Macaca mulatta: one gene and its partners. The protein of the gene in region 4 interacts with the protein of the main gene of each other region in a pairwise test. Links are inferred from orthologs where the notes say so. Each region holds a gene or a part of one and is shown on either strand. Other genes may lie near its edges. The genes, in order: LDLRAD1, FATE1, FURIN and MARCHF2.

Evidence for each region.
Region 1: the proteins of MARCHF2 (region 4) and LDLRAD1 interact in binary tests that used the Homo sapiens proteins (3 or more experiments, as listed by UniProt). The two-hybrid records come from large-scale screens. The link is inferred for Macaca mulatta from reciprocal best matches to the Homo sapiens genes MARCHF2 and LDLRAD1.
Region 2: the proteins of MARCHF2 (region 4) and FATE1 interact in binary tests that used the Homo sapiens proteins (3 or more experiments, as listed by UniProt). The two-hybrid records come from large-scale screens. The link is inferred for Macaca mulatta from reciprocal best matches to the Homo sapiens genes MARCHF2 and FATE1.
Region 3: the proteins of MARCHF2 (region 4) and FURIN interact in a protein complementation assay, tested with the Homo sapiens proteins (2 studies listed by BioGRID). The link is inferred for Macaca mulatta from reciprocal best matches to the Homo sapiens genes MARCHF2 and FURIN.

The regions. Positions count from the first base shown.
Region 1 is NC_133406.1:186,599,028-186,603,243, reverse strand, and holds part of LDLRAD1 (low-density lipoprotein receptor class A domain-containing protein 1), read right to left. Parts: intron 3,108-4,216; coding exon 2,979-3,107; intron 1,047-2,978; coding exon 909-1,046; intron 1-908.
Region 2 is NC_133426.1:157,951,452-157,956,366, reverse strand, and holds the start of FATE1 (fetal and adult testis-expressed transcript protein), read right to left. Parts: upstream 3,306-4,915; 5' UTR 3,218-3,305; coding exon 3,112-3,217; intron 2,070-3,111; coding exon 1,942-2,069; intron 1-1,941. UniProt on the Homo sapiens protein: Involved in the regulation of endoplasmic reticulum (ER)-mitochondria coupling. Negatively regulates the ER-mitochondria distance and Ca(2+) transfer from ER to mitochondria possibly implicating it in the regulation of apoptosis.
Region 3 is NC_133412.1:80,789,489-80,794,404, reverse strand, and holds the end of FURIN (furin precursor), read right to left. Parts: intron 4,537-4,916; coding exon 4,324-4,536; intron 3,871-4,323; coding exon 3,770-3,870; intron 3,650-3,769; coding exon 3,546-3,649; intron 3,454-3,545; coding exon 3,336-3,453; intron 3,229-3,335; coding exon 3,049-3,228; intron 2,641-3,048; coding exon 2,516-2,640; intron 2,403-2,515; coding exon 2,292-2,402; intron 2,049-2,291; coding exon 1,456-2,048; 3' UTR 1,195-1,455; downstream 1-1,194. UniProt on the Homo sapiens protein: Ubiquitous endoprotease within constitutive secretory pathways capable of cleavage at the RX(K/R)R consensus motif. Mediates processing of TGFB1, an essential step in TGF-beta-1 activation.
Region 4 is NC_133424.1:9,260,182-9,265,329, reverse strand, and holds the start of MARCHF2 (E3 ubiquitin-protein ligase MARCHF2), read right to left. Parts: upstream 3,185-5,148; 5' UTR 3,058-3,184; exon of another isoform or gene 2,374-3,057; intron 1,819-2,373; exon of another isoform or gene 1,745-1,818; intron 915-1,744; exon of another isoform or gene 571-914; intron 1-570. UniProt on the Homo sapiens protein: E3 ubiquitin-protein ligase that may mediate ubiquitination of TFRC and CD86, and promote their subsequent endocytosis and sorting to lysosomes via multivesicular bodies.

The DNA of each region.
Region 1 (4,216 bases), on a different chromosome or scaffold from region 4:
ATTAAAGCATGGTCTATTGGGGCAGGGTTGACAGAAGGACAGAGTTGGAACCAATCAGGGAAGAACCACTCTGGGAGGCAGCTCTAAGTTTGGGACAAGGAAAACCTTCCCATGGAAAAACCTTCCAACCCTTGCATCTCAGGGGGTGCAAACGGAAGCCGGGTGGCCTCGGTTGGGCTTGCTAAAGAGGGGCCTGGGGATGAGCTGGGGCAAGGACTAGATGTTTTTGAAATTGCTTCTCGTCTTGAGGGTCTTTGATGCAATGACTCGCCCTCCATGAGCTCCCCTACCCCACCCACTGCACCTCTCCAGGCTGTCTCTCTCCTGTGGGGTCAGGCTTCTCTCTCCTGAGAACATTCTGGTGTCTGAGGTCCGGGGCCAGGTCTTCCCATTCATTCATTTGCTCATTCATTCAGCAAGCCATTCTGAATACCCCTCTGTGCTAGGCGCTGGGGCCCCCATATCAAGCGGACTGGGCCTGCCTCAGAGGAGTTCACAGTCTGATGGGGGCAGCAGATGTGCCAATCGAGTGACAACCAGTGTGACGAGGGCTGCGACACAGGGAACCACAGGGACTGTGGAAGCCCAAGGAGACAATTTAACCTCGTGTGGGAGTCAGGGAAAGCTTCCTGGAGGAGGTAACACTTGAACTCTGCCTTGAGGGATGAATACGGGTTCTCTGGGAGTGGAGATGCACAGGGTGAAGGCATTCCTTAGTGGGGGCATGTATGTCCCTGACTGGGACCAGGTCGGGGCAGGCGTTCCTGGCTGAAGGCACTGGAGCATCAAAACCATGGGGACGTGAAGGTGCCTGGTGTGTTCAGGGATGACTGAGCTTCAGTATGGCTGCAGAGATAATTAGGCTGTGGGGGAACCCCTGGGAGGGGCAGCACCGAGCGGGTACTCACGGCACAAGCTCTCATCCTCATCCTCGCCGTGGGTACAGGTGCAAACGCCATCACAGACCCCACTGGCTGGAATGCAGCTCCTCTGGTCATGGCACAAGAAGCCTGTCCTATTTGTCAGTGTTATACAAGCTTGGGCTCCTGAATGGGTAGGGGAAGGCCCTGGAGGGTCAGGGGTGGTGCTCACAAGGACAAACTTTCCTCACCTGAACTCCACCTAGAGCTGGCCTGAGGGGCTAGAGCAGTGGGGGGGATGAACCCAGCGCCATCAATGGGGTTCAAGCCCCAGCTCTACCCACTGCCGGCTGCCTGATCTTGGGCAGATGACCTGACCACCTTGAGTCTCAGGTTGTCTGCAACATGGGGATCATAGCACACACCCCGTGGGACTGTTGCGGGGATTAAATAAAACCATCTCTGTGAAGAAACATAGAACAGAAAATGTGCAGGACAAGTAATGGTTCTCTCCTGTATTGAAAACTTATTTACAGTGTCACGGGAAGCTTCTGAGGACAGTGTTCAATTAAGTGAAGTGGTTGTAATGGTGAAGCTCCTGGTATGAGGTTAGAGTGTCAGAAGCAATATACTTGGGCTGGCTGGAGGGCCATATGTCATAATTCCTTCTATCTGGGCACAACTGCAAAGCACTTTCATATCTTTATTCTATAGTTCCCCAAACACCCCTGAGACACGTCATCATTGGCCCCCCATATGGGAGGAGAAAAGGAATACCCACTCCTAGGGCTGCCGCAAAGAATTAAAAGACGGAAACCTGCGGACAAGGTAGGGGGAACCCCTTGGCCCCACGTGTGTATACGTGTGCATAATTGGGGATGGGAGCCGGTTTGTGCATTTGTGTTTGTGCATGCGTGAACCACCTCTCAGTCCCTGGGCAGCCTCAGCTAGTGTGGGTTGGGGGACGGGGGAGCAACTCTCAGAGACACTCATGTTGACACAGACACACACACAGATGCACACACACATGAACACATGCTCACACACAGCTGCACCTACATGCACACTCACAGATACACAGACAACAGATGTGCACACATGCACTGACACACACATGCTCTCACACAGACATGAACATGCATACACAGACAGCTGCATATACTCATAGACACACAAAACACACAGGTGCGTGCACGGACTCATGACTGCAGCTGCTCATGTATTCGCATCCACCTCAGGGCCTGTGTTCCTGCACAGGCAGCGGGAGAGCTCAGCCCCTGCCTCAGCCCTCTACACCCACCCTGCCCGGCTGCAGAGCCATCCTGCAGAAACATCCACCTGGTGACACTTGCCCCCAGCTTAATCTCCTGTGGCTCCTGGACTATGACCTCCCTTCTCGGTGCAGCCTGTGAGGCCCTTGGCCCCACTTGTCACTCTAGCCCTTCCTGCACACTGGCCTCTTGCAGTCTCTTCTTCTCTTCCTGCTTCCTCCCACCCCTCAGGGCTCCACACATGCTGTTCCCTGTTCCTGGGATGCTTTTCCTGGCATCCCCCCACTACTAATACCCATTGTGCCTACCCTGACTCCTCAACGGGGCTAGACTCTCAGGGATCCCAGGGACCCTGCTGTAATATGTATTCATGTCGAGACTGCTCTCAGAACAATTATTAGCTCCATGAGGGCAGGCACTGTCTTGGGGTTGTTCACCCCTGAAGCTGGGGCTGCAGGCATGTATGGGATGTGACCCTGTCCCCCATGGTGGAGATGGACACACAGATGTATAGCACTACCCCAGGGTGCCCAGGCCAGGGGAAGAGGAAGTATAGGGACTGTGGGGCTGAGAAGAGGCTTGTAACCCAGCCTGGGGGTCTAGGAAGACATCCTGGAGGAGGTGACTTCAGAGCTGGATCCTCTCGGTAACCATGTCACAGATGTGCAAATGGAGGCTCAGAGACTGGTACAGTCAGTGTGTGTGCAGGTGTCTGTGCGTGCACCTTAAGGAATTTGTCCAAAGTCATCTGGTAGAGAAGCCAGGCAGGTCGGGGCTCCCTCATCTCTCTGTGCCCCCCCATGCCCTTCCCACCGGGTCTGACCCACCCTTTCTTGGCTGCCCTGACCGGGGGTGCGTGATGGGAGTCCAAGGATGGTGACCAAGGCGATGAGGGCGGCCAGAGTTGCCAGGAGGAACAGCAGAGAGGCAGAGAGGCAGGCCCTGCGACGCGAGCAGCAGAGGGGGCCGCAGCCTGCTGTGTGGGGGGAAACAAGCCCGGGGGTGGTGGTGATGAGGGCCAGCACTGGGAACAGGGTGCTCCCTTCCCGCCATGCCCGCTGCAAGCAGCCTGTCCCCAACCAGGGTGAGCAGAGCAGGGATGGCTTCCCTGGAGGAGCAGCTCCCAAGCCCTCCGTGATGCTCTTTGATGCTCTTTGTTCTGCCTGTGGGCCCACTCCACTAGATGCCACCCTGGCCGGGGCCCACAGATGACTGAATGGCAGAGGCGGACAGCCTCCTCTCCCACCCGCCATCAGGTGACCTCCTCAGGACACTGGGAGAGATGGACGCCTGTGTGTCCAGCCCCCAACTTGGGGCAGAAGCTCCATTAGGCCCTTCATAACCATGGTCTTTATTTTTCAAAACAAACTTTTATTTTATCAATGAGGAAACTAGGGCTCAAGAAGAAAAGATTCAGGTCACCCCGGGTAGAGCTGGCGTGTGAATCTACACCTGTTTGATGCCAAAACCCATGCCCTTTTCACTGTCCCAATTGACTGTTCATTCTGGAGTCTGCTGGGATGCAGGTTGGAATCCCAGCTCTACCACATCCTATCTGGGCCACACTGAGTAAGCCACTTCACTTCCCTGTGCCTCAGATTCCTCATGTGGAAAATGGGGACCACAGTAGCTACCTCTGAGTTTGTTGAGAGGATTAGAATTTGTTGAGTTAATGTGTTAGAACAGTGCTCAGCACATAGTAAGTGGTGAGTATGAGCTATTATTATTGCTTTTTAAAAAATTATTATTTTTTATATTTTAGGGATAGGGTCTGGCTCTGTTGCCCACGCTGCAGTGCAGTGGTGTGATCGTAGTTCACTGCACCCTGTAAGTCCTAGGCTCAAGCAGTCCTCCTGCCTCAGCCTCCCAAAGTGCTGGGACAACAGGCGTGTACCACCGTGTCTGGTCTATTATTGCTTGTTGAGGACTTACCATGTGCCGCGCCTTATTCTAAGTGCTACGGAGATAGCAGTGACAGGGGACCTCCCTACTCTTGTAGAACTGCACTTTAATTCTCCTTTAATTCTCTCCTGCTTACAAAATAATAAAAGAAGGCTTTACTGAGGACCTCCTGGGTACCCTGCT
Region 2 (4,915 bases), on a different chromosome or scaffold from region 4:
AATGAATGGAACTAATAAATTAGATTTCCTCTTTCTAAATTTAATTTATAAATTCAATTTAATGTCTATATTTTCAAACAGTCTACCTCTAGCCCTCATAGTCAACTTTAATTAAACCAGAGAAACGCATGCCTTGGAAATTGCCAGGGTACTCCTGGAGATGGGCATCCCCATGGCCTGATTCTCTCAGCATTCTGGGCATTGGCAGCTGGGACCCCTGAAGAAAGGAATGATCAGTAAAGTAGCCTGCCCAGCCTGTCCTCTAGTCTCAGGGACGTTGGTGGCTTGCAGGAGCCTGACTTCCTGGAGCAACTTGATTTGGCTTCTGTCTTTGGACACAAAAAGCCAACTCAATATTTGACTTATTTTTATTCCCAGGAAATCTCTAACTTGCAAGCTTTTTTTCTCATTCTTCACTGGGGCTACCCAATAAATCATTTCAGCAATCAAGTCTCCCTCCCTCTCCAACCTTATTGCCCCCCAATAACTTTCAAACTTTACTGTGGTAACAGTAAAACCACCATTTTCTAACGCTTTCCCTCATCCACCTGAATGTGGTGAACAACATTGGCTACGCAATTATGGGATTCATGATTCCCTAAAACGGTCAGGTCTACCTCCTCTGCAAAATGGCTCAGTATCCTTTGCAACAATGTGGCCAGCATTTTTCTAGAAGATTCAACACCCACAATGAATGTAGCTTAAAGAATTGGCTACAGAACTGTGGGACTCACATGATTTCCTGGAGCAGTCAGACCTCCCTCCCTCTCCAATCTTGTTGCCTTTTCCCAGCAGCCTTTGCAACAGCATAACAACAATTTTTGTAAAACTTTCCCTTACTCACAGTGAATTTAGCTAGCTAAAATGATTGGCTACAGAACTGTGGGACTCACTTAATTCTCTAGAATAGTCAGGCTTCCCTCCCCATCCAAAATGACTGTGTTTTCCCAATATCATTTGCAACAGTATAGCCACTATTTATTCTAAAACATTCCTTCACCCATATCGAATGTAGCTTAAAAGGACTGGCTACAAAATGGTCAGATTCACTTTCCTGGATTTCTTTTTTCTTTCTTTCTCTTTCTTTCTTTCTTTCTTTCTTTCTTTCTTTCTTTCTCTTTCTTTCTTTCTTTCTTTCTTTCTTTCTTTCTTTCTTTCTTTCTTTCTTTCTTTCCTTTCTTTTCCTTTTCCTTCCTTCTTCTCTCTCTCTCTCTCTCTCTCTCTCCCCCTCTCTCTCTCTGTCTCTCTCTCTCTCTCTCTCTCTCTCTCTCTCTCTCTCTTCCTTTCTTTCTCTTGCTCTGTTGCCCAGACTGGAGTACAGTTGCATGATCTCAGCTCACTGCAACCTCTGCTTGCTAGGTTCAAGCGATTCTCATGCCTCAGCCTCCTGAGTAGCTGTGATTACAGGCATGTGCCACCATGCCCAGCTAATTTTTGTATTTTTAGTAGAGACAAGGTTTCACCATGCTGGCCAGACTGTTCTCCAACTCCTGGCCTCAAGTGATCCGTCCACCTCTTCCTGCCAGAGTGCTCAGATTACAGGCATGAGCCACCATGCCAGACGACTTGACTGGATTTCTTAACAGCCAGAAAGCGTAGGAGCCTCACCTGAGTTATTGTGTGTATACACACACACGCACCACACACACAATTTTAAATACAGGAAGCGTTATTTCACACAATGGATTTACAGAGTGAAATATTTATGTACTCCCCATGCAATATTTGTTTCAGGCGTTCTGAACTCCCAAGGTTGCATCCCAAGCATAGGAAAGGATGACCCTGACCTTTCTGTCCTCATTTGCCAGCTTGGAATACAGGAGCTTCCTCCTCCTCACAAGTCAATGTCTAGCCCTGCCTGACCTGGTCAGGCTACAGCCCCTACAACCAGTACTCCCAACCCCAACCTGGCCAACATGTGCTGAGGACCCCATGCAGTACCATTTTCTTGGATCGGGTGGCAGTCATATTCCAAACTCGTTTCGCTGAAGCAGAGCCAGCAGCTTTTTGTTCCAACTTCTGCCTCTTCTGGGAGGCACCCAGGGACCGAGATCCATGCTCCATCATTTCTAGAGAGAAGAACAGAGACCCCAGGAGCACCCATAGAAGTTGTACCAGGGCTTCTTGGGCACAAAACACACCAAAAAGAAGACAGAGTCCCCAGCTTTCTTGGGAATCACTCAGCACCCATTAACCACTGTCCACCAGCTGATCCCAGGTCTCAGTTTGTTCATCTGTTCAAAAGTTAAACAAGAATCCTGAGGGCTCAGCTCGAGACTAGGTTACTCTCCAGTAATCTAGAGAGCAATGACCAAGAACAAGATTCCAGCTATCAAGGAACTGACCATCTGTTTTGTGTATAAGAGTGAATGACAGGTGTAAAACAGAAGGTCTATCCTTGCAAATGCAGACAGAGAGATGCAGGCTCCATAAATGATCAAAACAGGGTAACATAGTGGAAGGAAAGGGCTCCTTCTAGAAAAGTAGGAGACAACAATTGAGGCAGGGACCTGAAAAAAATAAAGGACCCAGCCCTGGGAAATTGAGGGAAAGAGCATTCCAGACAGAGGAAACAGCAAATGCAAGGTCTTTGGGGAAGAAGCAGGCTTGGAGCATTGTAAGAACAAACATAAATGCAATGTGATCTGGATCCCTTTGTGTGCTATAGAAATGGTATTTTCTGTCTATATCATAGTATGAAATGTTTTGAGGAGGCTGATACAATCTTATAGATCATGGAGTCTGGATTTTCCTCCAAATGGCAGGAAAATGAATTCGAGGGTTGGGAGAGAGAATTGATCTCTGGTCTCATAATTTGAGCCCTCTGAGTATTTTGCAACAGACACTGTGGTGGCTTGGACAAGGGGAAGACAGAGGGACCACACATGTTGTTCCCATCCTCCTCCCTCCCAGGGCAAAATGCTCACATCATCTATCCCTTTTCTCCTAGATCCCTTACCATCAACCCACAAATCCTCAAAGCCCGCCCAACACACAGATGTGCAAACACTTCCATGCACACATGCACCTTTCCCAACACACACATGCACAGGTACAGACATGTATCTACACAGTTGGCTGTAGCCTAGGGGTATTTTAGGGGATCCTCACCCGCTATCACCAGGTGCTCTTGGTTTTGCCCTTGGCGTCCATGATTCAGTTCTTCTGTCAGGGACATTTCCATCTCTGCCTTGGTGTTGGGAGGGCCTCCTGCCATCACAACCAGCTGTTCACTTGTAAGCTATGGCTAAGGATGTACAGGGTGCCAGGAACAGAGGAGTCACACTCAGAAAATCACCTCTTCCTGGAACAGGAGCTCAAGGAAGATATAGTCAGACCTGGGGGTGGAGCAAGACTCCCTCTCTAGGCTGAGGCCTTGGACTCAGCACTTTCTGTTTCTATTGTATCTTGTTGGCTAGGTCCGTGGCCTTCTCCTTGCTACTCTGTAAGCAACTTAGGAGAAGAGATACAATTCCATGCCTTTGACTGTGAGAACTGCTCTGGCTCATAAATCTCCATATTTAGCCCATGGGGGGAAGGGTGGGGTCTACCCTCCATCATTTCTATGAAGAAACAGGGATTGGCACAGGGTCCAAGAGCCAGGCAGTGGCTACAGCAGAGTTAGGTCCTAGCAATCCAGGCCATACCACACCTTCAGAAGGGATTCTCTGGAGAGCATATCCTACCTCCCCCATCCAGAGTCCCCAGACATGGGAGGTAGCCTTTTTCTGAAGTAGGTCAGACTAGGCAGGAGCCATGAGAACAAAGGGAGAGAAGGGTAAGAGAGGTGGGACCTGACTGCAGCCACTAGAACTCCCAGGGGCCTCAGGCCTTGCACCTTCTAAGTCCCAATTCTCCCTCAGTTTCCCTACTGATTAGACCACTGTGATGGTCAGGTTTATGTGTCACCTGGCCAGGTTCTAGTCCCCAGTGACTCCTTCAAACACTAGTCTAGGTGTTGCTGTGGAGGCATTTTGTAGCTGTGGTTGGCATCTACAACCAGTGGACTTGAAGTAAAGTAGAGACACATCCTCGATGATGTGGGTTGGTCTCACACAATCAACTGAGAGGCCTGAAGAGCAAAGACTGAGGTTTCCCAAAGTAGAGGTAATTCTACCCCAGGACTGCAGTGTCAACTCTTCTTTGAGTTGCCAGCCTGCCAGGCTGCCCTGCACATTTCAGACTTGTCAGCCCCACAATTGCATAAGTCAATTTATTAAAATAAATGTATATATACTTGTGCATATGCAGATACATACATACATACATACATACATATATACATCCTATCAGTTCTGTTTCTCTGGAAAACACTGATTGCTACACGACCTATGGTGAACCCTTCATTCTAGGAAACAACCCCAGAGCCCCTGGGGGAATAGGAGGCTATTTGTGAAAGGAATCAGGACAGGTTTATAAAACGTTCCTTTTAGAAATAGCCTCTTCTTCCCCCAGAGCCCTTGGGTCAGGTGGGATAAAGAGGAGGAAGGAAGGAGGAAAAGAGGAAGGGAGGAAGGAAGGAAGGAAGGAAGGAAGGAAGGAAGGAAGGAAGGAAGGAAGGAAGGAAGGAAAAGAGGAAGGGAGGAAGGAAGGAAGGAAAGAAGGAAGGAGGAAAAGAGGAAGGAAGGAAGGAAGGAAGGAAGGAAGGAAGGAAGGAAGGAAGGAAGGAAGGAGAGGGAGTGCAAAGGAAGGGGTCAGAACTAGCTGAGATAGGGCAGCATGGTCTGAGGCTGCCTGTCCCCTGCCCCCACCTCACCTGTCCAGCGCTGGGGCCGAGCTCTTGGGAAGCAGAGCTGATATAGGCCCTGCCTGCATTCCTGGGGGCCCCAAAGAAGCCCTTCCCAGATCTAGTGGAGCAGCTGCGATGAAATTTGAGCTTTCTGGAGGGCCACCTTGGGAGCAGAGAAACTACTGA
Region 3 (4,916 bases), on a different chromosome or scaffold from region 4:
GGCTGGCCACGAGGGTAGGGGGATGGGAGAGGAGGGGGCACCCCTGGGCAGGTGGCTGGGTACCAGGAATGGCTAGGAGAAAGAAAAGGGGGCTCCCAGATGGGAGGGGACTGATTGTCCTAATGGGAGGGGTGCAAAAGGCACGTCAGAAGAGGAGGTTTGAGGGGGGCATGACAGGTCAGTGCTTTCTCCACCAGGGCACAGTGTTGGAGGGGGCTAAGTGCCACCACCTGCCTACTCCTGGCACTTGGAGAGCCAGTGACCTATGAGCCCCTGGCATGGCGAGCCCCACTTGAAACACAGATGTCAGCCTGTCCCTCCCACTGGGACCCCCTTTCCTTGAGCCCGCCTGGCTGGCCTGCCTCTTCAGGACTTGGGGCTTAACTATTCCTCACTCCTCAGCAACATGCTGCAGCCCCCACACCTCAGGGCCAGGGCAGCCAGGGAGGAGCAGGGCGGACGGTGGGTGTGAGAAGGTGGGTAGTCCAGCTGCTACCCCCATTAAAAATACAAAAACAAATCATCAGCATCTAAAGTGAAATAATCACAAAGTGAAAATATATCCTCAAACAGCCCCTGAGATCCCCACAGGGGAAAGCAGCATTGGGTGGGAGGCCAGAGAGGCTGGCTGGGCCACCGCCCCTCCCCACCACCCACCCAGGGGCTCCAGGTCTGTGAGTGCCAACAGCCCAGACAGCCCGGGCTCAGAAAACAGGGACTTGGGCCCTGATGGGAGAGGCAGGTGCAAAAGAGGGGAGGGTGGTCAGGACACCAGCACAGGGTTCAGCCAGAATTTCAGCCTTGGCTGCGCCAGCCTGGTGGCCAGTGGTGGTGGAGGCAGGGAGCACAGGGGTGGGTCATGGGACACAGGCCACAGGCCAACATGCCACGTGCACACCTGGAGGCACCTGCCTTGCCTTGGTCCCTTCCTATGATGGCTGCTGCTGCCAAGACTCACCAGAGCTGGGGGACAAGGTGGAGGGTGCAGAAGCCCTTGGAGAGGTGGCCTCCTCCCTCAGATACCTCCTAGGCCAGCCCCCGACTGCCTGGATGGGACCATTATTGCTTTAGAGGGACAGGGAAGGGCAAGAGCTACGGCCTGGGTCAGGAATCCCAACAAGCAAAGGCTGCCCCTCTTCACTCCGCAGGAACTCTGGCTGGGGCTGGGGCCTGGGCCTGGGCCTGGGCCTGGGCCTGGGCAAGCTGCCCTAAAGGTTTCACTCCTTTCTCCACATGGAGGGGGTGCTGAGGGTGGGGTACGGCCCTCCCCGCACCCCAGCTGGTCCTGGGCCCACCTCAGGTGGCCAGATGGGCCCGAGGGTAGGAAGGGCGCAGTCTCCACCCCTCTTGCCTCCCAGCTGGGGTCCAAACCCAGTCCCAAGATAAAAAAATACTTTGGTGAATTAAAAAGTGCCCAAGGAGGGGATTGGCTTGAGGGGGTGGGCAGTGGGCTCATCAGAGGGCGCTCTGGTCTTTGATAAAGGCGGTCCTCTCGCCCCGGCCCTCATCCTCTTCTGAGTCAGACGGACACTCCTCCTGCCAGGCTTCAGGGGGCAGCCCCTTGTAGGAGATGAGGCCACGGTCCATGGTGTACACCTTCACCCCCCGGAAGCTAAAGCCAGAGCGCAGCTGCAGGACCAGGAAGACAGTGACGAAGACCAGCACGATGAAGGCGCAGCTGAGGCCAGCCACCACCTCAGGCAGGTGTGAGGGCAGCAGCCCTGCCCGCAGCCGCGGCCCCGCCTCCATCTCTGGGGGCAGCCGGGGTGGCTGCTGCTGTGGCGGGGACTCTCGGCTGCTCTGGCTTTGCCGGGAGCAAGTCTGCTCCACAGGGTCCAAGGAGGCATGGCTGGGGCAGCTGAGGCAGTCTGTCGGGGCCGGCCCCTGGCATGTGGCACATGAGGCGTGGCAGGGGGCGCAGACGCTGGCCCGGATGGTCTCCACGTCATTCTCGGTGCTATAGTGTGTATCGAGGACTTGGGGGGCAAAGCCTGGAGGGCAGTGCTGGACACAGCTCTTCTGGTGCAGGGAGAAGCCTTCCTCGCACACTGCCGGCGTGGGAGAGAGGGCAAGTGTGTGTCAGCTAAACAGACTGTAGCACCAGGACCATAGCAGCCCCAAGCCAAGTCACCACATCCCCAAGATCCCCCAGCCCCAGGACTGTGGTCATCCCAAAAGCCCCAGGGGCCCTAGGTCTCTTGAGACTTTTTTCTTAGAGCTGGGCTTCAGGACAGGCACCCGCCATCCCCCCAGACTCCGGCCCCCAAAGCCCAACAGCACCCACTACTGACCCACACAGGCCTGACTGGACGTGAGGGTCTTGCAGCCACTGCTTTCTGGAGGTATGGGCAGCCCCTCAGGGGCAGTGCCATAGAGTACGAGGGTGAACTTTGTCAGTGTCCCTGTTCCAGAGCGGTGAGGAGGCAAGAGTTGGACAGTGCTGGCACCACGCCCAGTGCCCTAGATCCTGCCAGCCCTCCACCTCGTACCCCTACCCCTCAAGTGCCCCCAGTACCATAGTTGTTGGCTTCGCTGGTGTTTTCAATCTCTAGGACCCACTCGCCAGAGGGATCCTCATCCCAGGAATGAGTTGTCATGAAGGCCCAGTCATTAAACCCATCTGCGGAGTAGTCATGTGGCCTGGGGAGGGGAGTGCACACAGCCCTGAGGCCTCTGGGGGACCCCAAGCTAGGGACATCTAACCCACAGCACACGGGCCACATACCCTTCCCCCACGCAGACCAACCTCACGGGGCCAGAAGTGCCTGCTGGCTTGGCTGTTTCCCAGCGAGCCAGACATGCTCAACCAGGGGATTCTAGAAGGATACACAGGCACTGCACAAGGTGGGGCACACTACTGACATTAAATAGGTGCAAGCCAGGGATTCCTGCAACATGGGACAGTCCCACAGGACAAAACTGTCCCTCCCAAAATGCCAAGAGTGCCCCACTGAGTAGCACTCAGTGCCCCCTGGGCCGTGTGAGCGAGCAAAGGCAAGCACGCGGGCTGTGAGAGGAGGAGGTGATGGGCAGGGACAGAGCAAGCACCTGGCTGCCAGCAGGGTGGAGCGGGTGCCCATGGGGCTGACCAGGTGGATGGCCAGGTCGCCACGGCGATTATAGGACAGGGTGAGCCGCGCCTGAGCGTGCTCCAGCCGAGTGATGTGGTTGGGCTCGCCCAGGCACGCGGTCACGGTCTTCCGCACCTCGAGCCGTTTCCCGATGTCTCTGTGCAGGAGAGGACCATGATGGTCAGCCTGGCCCAGAGGGACCAGCGGGCACCCCCTGCGACTCTGGTCCCACTGGCCCCCTCCCAGCCTGGGTCCAGCCCTCACTTGGGCTCCGTGAGGATGTCGATGATGCACTTCCGCTGGGGGCCCACTGTGGTCCAATTCTGGGCCAGGGCCACCATGGCGCCTGCGTCCAAAAGCCCGTAGCCATACGAGTGGCTCACTGTGGGAACAGGGAAGGTGAAGTCAGCTGTGAGGCACAGAGTGCCTTCCACCTAACTCCACATCCAGCCTGCGGGGCCAGCCTGTCCTCACCTTTCCGGCCCACACCATTGGTGGCCCAGTCGTTGGCGTTGAGGTGGGCTGGCTTCGAGGTCTGTACCACCAGGTGCTGCATGTCCCGCCATGTGAGGTTCTTACTGCAAAGAAGGAAAGGAGAGGTCAGGGATCAGTCTTTTTTGGGAGCAGCTGGAGACTAAGGGCTGCCCTACAGAGAGTGCTGGTAGAGACAGGGTTGCCCCTGGCCCCCACCCACTTACTTGGCCTCCAGGGTGAGAGCAATGATGCCGGCTGCTAAGGGGGCAGAGGCTGAGGTGCCCGTGTGAGACTCCGTGCACTTCTGCCGCAAGTCAGTCGTCACCTGCCAGGAAGATAATCTTATTGGGGCCTGTGATGGGTGGAGAGGGCTAGAGGAGCCACCTGCCTACAGGCCCTGGGCACCACAGATGGTATGAGAAGCCAGGGCCAAGACCCCTGGGTCCCAGCTGCTGCCCTGTTAACTTGCTGTGGACAGGCTAATGATGAGCCCCTCCTGGACCTCATTTTCCAAAGGAATAAGGGGGTTTAACTAGCAGTTGGAGATGAATAAGAACGACGTATGTTTTTAGGGAGAGACTAGGCTTTTCAAAGGCTTCAGGTATGGCTCCACCGCCTCCCAAGAACTTAGAGAGCCCCAGAGTTCACATTCCATGATGCCTGAGCCACTATCACCCAGCCACATGGGGGTGGAGGCAAACAGCCTCCAAAAGAGGGTGCTGGGCAAAGTCAGCCAGCAGCCCCATTTCCCCAGCCCCCAAGCCCAGGTAAGACTCACAATCTGCTTCTCATTCTGGTTGCCACTGCTGTAGGTCGTGGCCAGTGTGGATGAGCAGGCCTCACTGTACCAGGGCACGTTGCCAAACTGCGTGGCGCTGCTGATGGACAGCGTGTAGATACTGTTGGTGTAGCCGTCGCAGTTGCAGCTGTCATGTTCCCGGCCCCCGTTCCCCGAGGCCCAGACAAAGATGGAGCCCAGCCCCCCTCGGCCCTGTGGACAGAGTGGGCTGGGGTCATTCAGGATTGGGACTTGAGGGAGGGTTGGCAGGAGGACACTGCTGGAGAACTGGCCTCATTCTCTGGGAACCTCCTGTCCCCTGTGAGATCCCTGGTGGATCAAGTGTGTATCCAAATATATCTATCTAGACACACAAAAAATCAGACCAGGAGACCAAGGCGGGAGGATTGCTTGAGGCCAGGAGTTCAAGACCACCCTGGGTAACATAGCAAGACCTCATCTCTAAAAAAAAATTGTTTTTTAATTAGCCAAGTGCAATTGGTATAAGCACTTTACTTTTCTTTTGTCCCTTAATGTTTCAATAAACATGTTTTGTGTAAAGTTAAACACGAGAATAAATAAACCAAAAAAAC
Region 4 (5,148 bases):
GACCTCGCCTCTACAAGAAATACAAAAATGAGCCGGGTGTGGTGGTGTGCGCCTGTAATCCCAGCTACTCAGGAGGCTGAGGTGGGAGAATCATTTGAGCCCAGAAGGTTGAGGCTGCGGTGAGCCATGATTGCACGACTGCACTCCAGCCTGGGCCACAGAGCAAGACCCTGTCTCAATCAATCAAGCGCCACTGGGGTCCACTTGATTCCCCTCCTGGCATGTGTCCCTGTCTGAAACATTCTACTTATTCATCTACGTATTTAGCCATGTCTGTTGTTCCACCCTGCAGTGAATTCTATAAAAAAGGGACCTTGTCAGATTGCCTCCTGCTGTCCCCAGCATGTGGCCCTGGCCCTGTGTCTAGCCCAGAGCTGCTGCATTTCTAGTTGCTACTGCAGTCATTTCTCTTTTTCTTTTTTTATTTTTTGAGACAGAGTCTCGCTCTGTCGCCTAGGCTGGAGTATAGTGGCCGATCTCAGCTCACTGCAATCTCCATCTCCTGGATTCAAGGGATTCTCCTGCCTCAGCCTCCCGAGTAGCTGGGATTACATGCACCCACCACCATACCTGGCTAACTTTTGTATTTTCAGTAGAGACGGGGTTTCACCATGTTGGCCACGTTAGTCTCAAACTCCTGACCTCGTGATCCACCCACTTCAGCCTCCTAAAGTGCTGGGATTACAGGTATGAGTCACCGCGCCTGGCCTATTTCTTTTCTCTCTTCTGTTGTTTGTTTGTTTGTTTGTTTTGAGGCAGGGTCTCACTCTGTCACCCAAAAGGCTGGAAGGCAGTGTAGTAATCCTCCCACCTCAGCCTCCTAAGTAGCTCTGCACACCACCACATCCAGTTAATTTTTGTATTTTTTTGTAGAGATGGTGTTTTGCCAAGTTGCCTAGGCTGGTCCTGAACTCCTGGCCTCCAGTGATCTGCCCGCCTTGGCCTCTCAAAGTGTTGGGATTACAGGCATGAGCCACCATGCACGGCCTGGATATAGATCTCATTGAGTCTTCACAACAAACCAATAACTACACCCTGTGATGGGGGAAGAGGCCGATGCTCAGAGAGAGGCATCTACCTTTCCAAGGTCACACAGCTGGGAAGGGGTGGTGTCAGAACTTGAACTTAAAACAGTCCAGGGAGTGGGTCTGGACCTCAAGAGACCTGGGTTCTTTAACTCCTGGCCCTCCTGGCTCTGCCACCAATGCTGAGTGTCCTGGTTCAAGTCATTTTGCTTCTCTGGGCTTCATTCTAATGATGGAGCTGGTGGAATCTGTCTGTGGAGGGGGTCTCCTGAGAAGGAGCCTCCAGGCTGAATTCATCAAGTAAAGCTCACCCTTAGCTAGGCTTGTTTAGGGTGGCACTGAGGCCCCCCAGTCTTTTCCATACCTGCCCAGGCTCCTTTTCCTAAAGGTAGGAAACAGAGAGCAGAGGAATCAGAGGGCCCTAAAACTCCCTACAGTGTGATCTCAGGCAGCTGTTTTACTCTCTCAGCCTCAGTATTCTCATCCACAAAATGAGTGTTATAGGCCGGGCGAAGGGCTCATGCCTATAATCCCAGCACTTTGCGCACTTTGGGAGCTCAAGGATGGTGGATCACTTGAGGCCAGGAGTTCAAGACCAGCCCAGTCAACATGGTGAAACCACCTCATTTCTGCTAAAACGACAAAAACTGGCCAGGCATGGTGGCGGGCGCCTGTAATCCCAACTACTCGAGAGGCTGAGGTGAGAGAATCGCTTGAACCTGGGAGGCAGAGATTGCAATGAGCCGAGATCGTGTCACTGCATTCCAGTCTGGGCAAGAGAGGGAGACTCCATCTAAAAAAAAAAAGAAGGGGTGTCATAATATATAGTTCATAAATTAGTAAAAATTAAGAAATTAATTATTAGCTCCTATTATAATTACTATCATCAGCTTACAGAGCTGTTGATGAGAGGCCACACAGTCAACCCCTGGCACACACAGTAAGTGCTCAATAAAAGCTCACTATTGGCCGGGCACGGTGGCTCATGCCTGTAATCCCAGCACTTTGGGAAGCCGAGGCGGGTGGATCACGAGGTCAGGATATCGAGACCATCCTGGTTAACACTATCTCTACTAAATATATATATATATAATATATATATATATAAAATTAGCTGGGCATGGTGGCGGGCGCCTGTAGTCCCAGCTACTCGGGAGGCTGAGGCACGAGAATGGCGTGAACCCGGGAGGCATGAACCCGGGAGGCAGAGCTTGCAGTGAGTGGGAGATCACGCCACTGCACTCCAGCCTGGACGACAGAGTGAGACTCCGTCTCAAAAAAAAAAAAAAATTAATATTTTTTAGGGTAAATGTGGAGGTTGTCATTGCATTCATTCCTCTTCCCTTACCATAGAGAGGCTCCTGTGTGTCCTTCAGTTCCTTTAGGCACTGCATGAGAAACGAGGTTCCAATCCCACCTCTACTCCTTATGTGCTGTGTGGCCCTGGGCAAGACACTTAACCTGTCTAAGCCTGGACTCTCTCATCTGTATAACAGGGGACATTTCTAGTGCTTCCATCTACTCAGTATGGTTTCAAAAGAACTGAATGAGCTCAATATGCCCATTTGATTACGCTGTTTTGAGTACCCATATAGCACAGGGTATCCTGTTTGAGCATCTTTGTGCAAAGTGGCTGGCTCATTATATTATAACTTACTATTTTGCAAGTAGAGAGGCTCTGAGAAGGAGGTTGGGGAAGGGCATTGGCCACTTCGTAGTTACCTACTGTGTGTCAGGCGCTTTCTGCACCAGCCACCTCCTGAGTCCTCCCAGAAGCCCCATCAGGTTGGCAATGGGATGACCCAGTTTCACAGGTGGGGAAACCGAGGCTCGGAGAGGCGCCTACTGTGTACCGGACCCCGGGGACCTCCCACCGGCCTTGACACGGGAACTGGGGTCCCCGCGTCCCTGAGAAGGCTGTGGTCAAGGGATCGAGCCCAGCCGTCCCGCCCGGGTGCCGAGCTCCGGCCTCGAACCCGGGGCTGGCCCGCGGACTGGCGTCCTCTGACCCCACCTGCAGGCCCATGCCTACCTGATACGCGGCCGGGCCGGGCGGCCGCGCAGGCCCCTCCGTTCGCCCCGGCCCGGGTCCCGGCCCGGCCCGGCCCGTCGGCGCCACTAGCTCCGCTCCGGCCGGCACCTGCGTCCGGGCACCGCCCGCCGAGCCGACAGCGCCGCGGGCCAATAGCGACCGCCTCTCGCTCTCACTCGCCAATCGCCACGCACGTCCCGCCCTGAGAGGCGGGGCCGGAGGCGACAGGGACGCCGTGGGCCGCACAGGCCCCGCTGCGCCGCAGCTGCTGACTCCGCCCCTGCCGAGTCTTGGCTCCGCCCCCCAGCTCCGGCTCCGCCCCCAGCACTGGTCCCGCCCTAGCCCAGCCCAGGCACCAGGGGTGCTGCTGCGCCACCTGCAGACCGCCATCGTCGTCTAATAAAACCGCTGCAGAATTCAACTTTTTTTTTTTTTTTTTTTTGAGACTAGCCGGTCGCAGTGGCTCAAGCTTGTAATCCCAGCACTTTGGGAGGCCGAGACGGAAGGATCGCTTGAGCCCAGAAGTTGGGGACCAGCCTGGGCAACATAGTGAGATCCTGTCTCTACAAAAAATTTAAAAGTTAGACGAGCGTGGTGGTGCGGGCCTGTAGTCCCAGATGCTCTGGAGGCTGAGGCAAGAGGTTCACTTGAGCCCAGGAGTTCGAGGCCAGCGTGGGCAACATAGTAAACTCACCCACCCCCATCTCTAAGACAGATCCATTTTTTTAAAAATACTGCACTATGTCCGGGAGCGGTGGCTCACGCCTGTAATCCCAGCACTTGGATCATTTGAGGTCAGGAGTTTGAGACCAGCCCGGCCAACATGGTGAAACCCCATCTGTACTAAAAATACAAATAATTGGCTGGGTTTGGTTGTGGGCACCAGTAATACCAGCTACTCAGGAGGCTGAGGCAGGAGAATTGCTTGAATCTGCAAGGCGGAGGTTGCAGTGAGCAGAGATCTTGCCACTGCATTCTAGCCTGGGTGACACAGCCAGACTCTGTCTCCAAAAAAAAAAAAAGTTTCCAATAAAGTCCCTTAAAAATCCAAAATCCAGGCCAGGCACAGTGACTCATGTCTGTAATCCCAGCTCTTCGGGAGCCCAAGGCAGAAAGGTCTCTTGGGTCCAGGAGTCTGAGACCTCATCTCTACAAAATAAAAGAAAAATATTGGCCGGGCGCGGTGGCTCAAGCCTGTAATCCCAGCACTTTGGGAGGCCGAGACGGGCGGATCACGAGGTCAGGAGATCGAGACCATCCTGGTTAACACGGTGAAACCCCGTCTCTACTAAAAATACAAGAAAATTAGCTGGGCGAGGTGGCGGGCGCCTGTAGTCCCAGCTACTCGGGAGGCTGAGGCAGGAGAATGGCGTGAACCCGGGGAGGCGGAGCTTGCAGTGAGCCGAGATCACGCCACTGCACTCCAGCCTGGGCAACAGCGTGAGACTCCGTCTCAAAAAAAAAAAAAAAAAAAAAAAAAAAAAAAAAAATATTAGCCAGGCGTGGTGGCATCCTCCTGTGGTCCCAGCTACTTGGGAGGCTGAGGTGAGAGGATCAGTTGAGCCCAGGAGTTCCGGGCTGCAGTGAGCCATTACCTCACCACTGCATTCCAGCCTGGGCAACAGAGCAAGATCCTGTGTCAAAAAAACAAAAAAATCCCTAATCCATCCCGGGATCAAGTGTTGTATTTTGTTGTTATGACTCTAATTTAGTCTCTCTTTCTGGAACATTTTATCAATCTTACCTTCTCTCCATGACGTCAATATTTTTCAAAAATTCCAGGCTAGTAATTTTGAAGAAAGTCCTTCCATTGCTATTTGTCTAACACTTCCTCATGATTTTGCATTTGTGGCAGGAAACAGACGTGACATTGCGTTTTCAGGATGCATACAATGTTGATTTTGTCCACTACCGATTATGCTAACTTGGTTCAAATGGTGTCTGCCAGTTTCTCCAGTGTGAGTTAGTGTGTTACACTTTGGTTTTTTGTTGTTGTTTTTAATATTTTATTTAATTTTAATTTTTTTTTTTTTTTTTTTGAGACAGGGTCTCACTCTGTCACCCAGGCTGGAGTGCAATGGCATGGTCTCA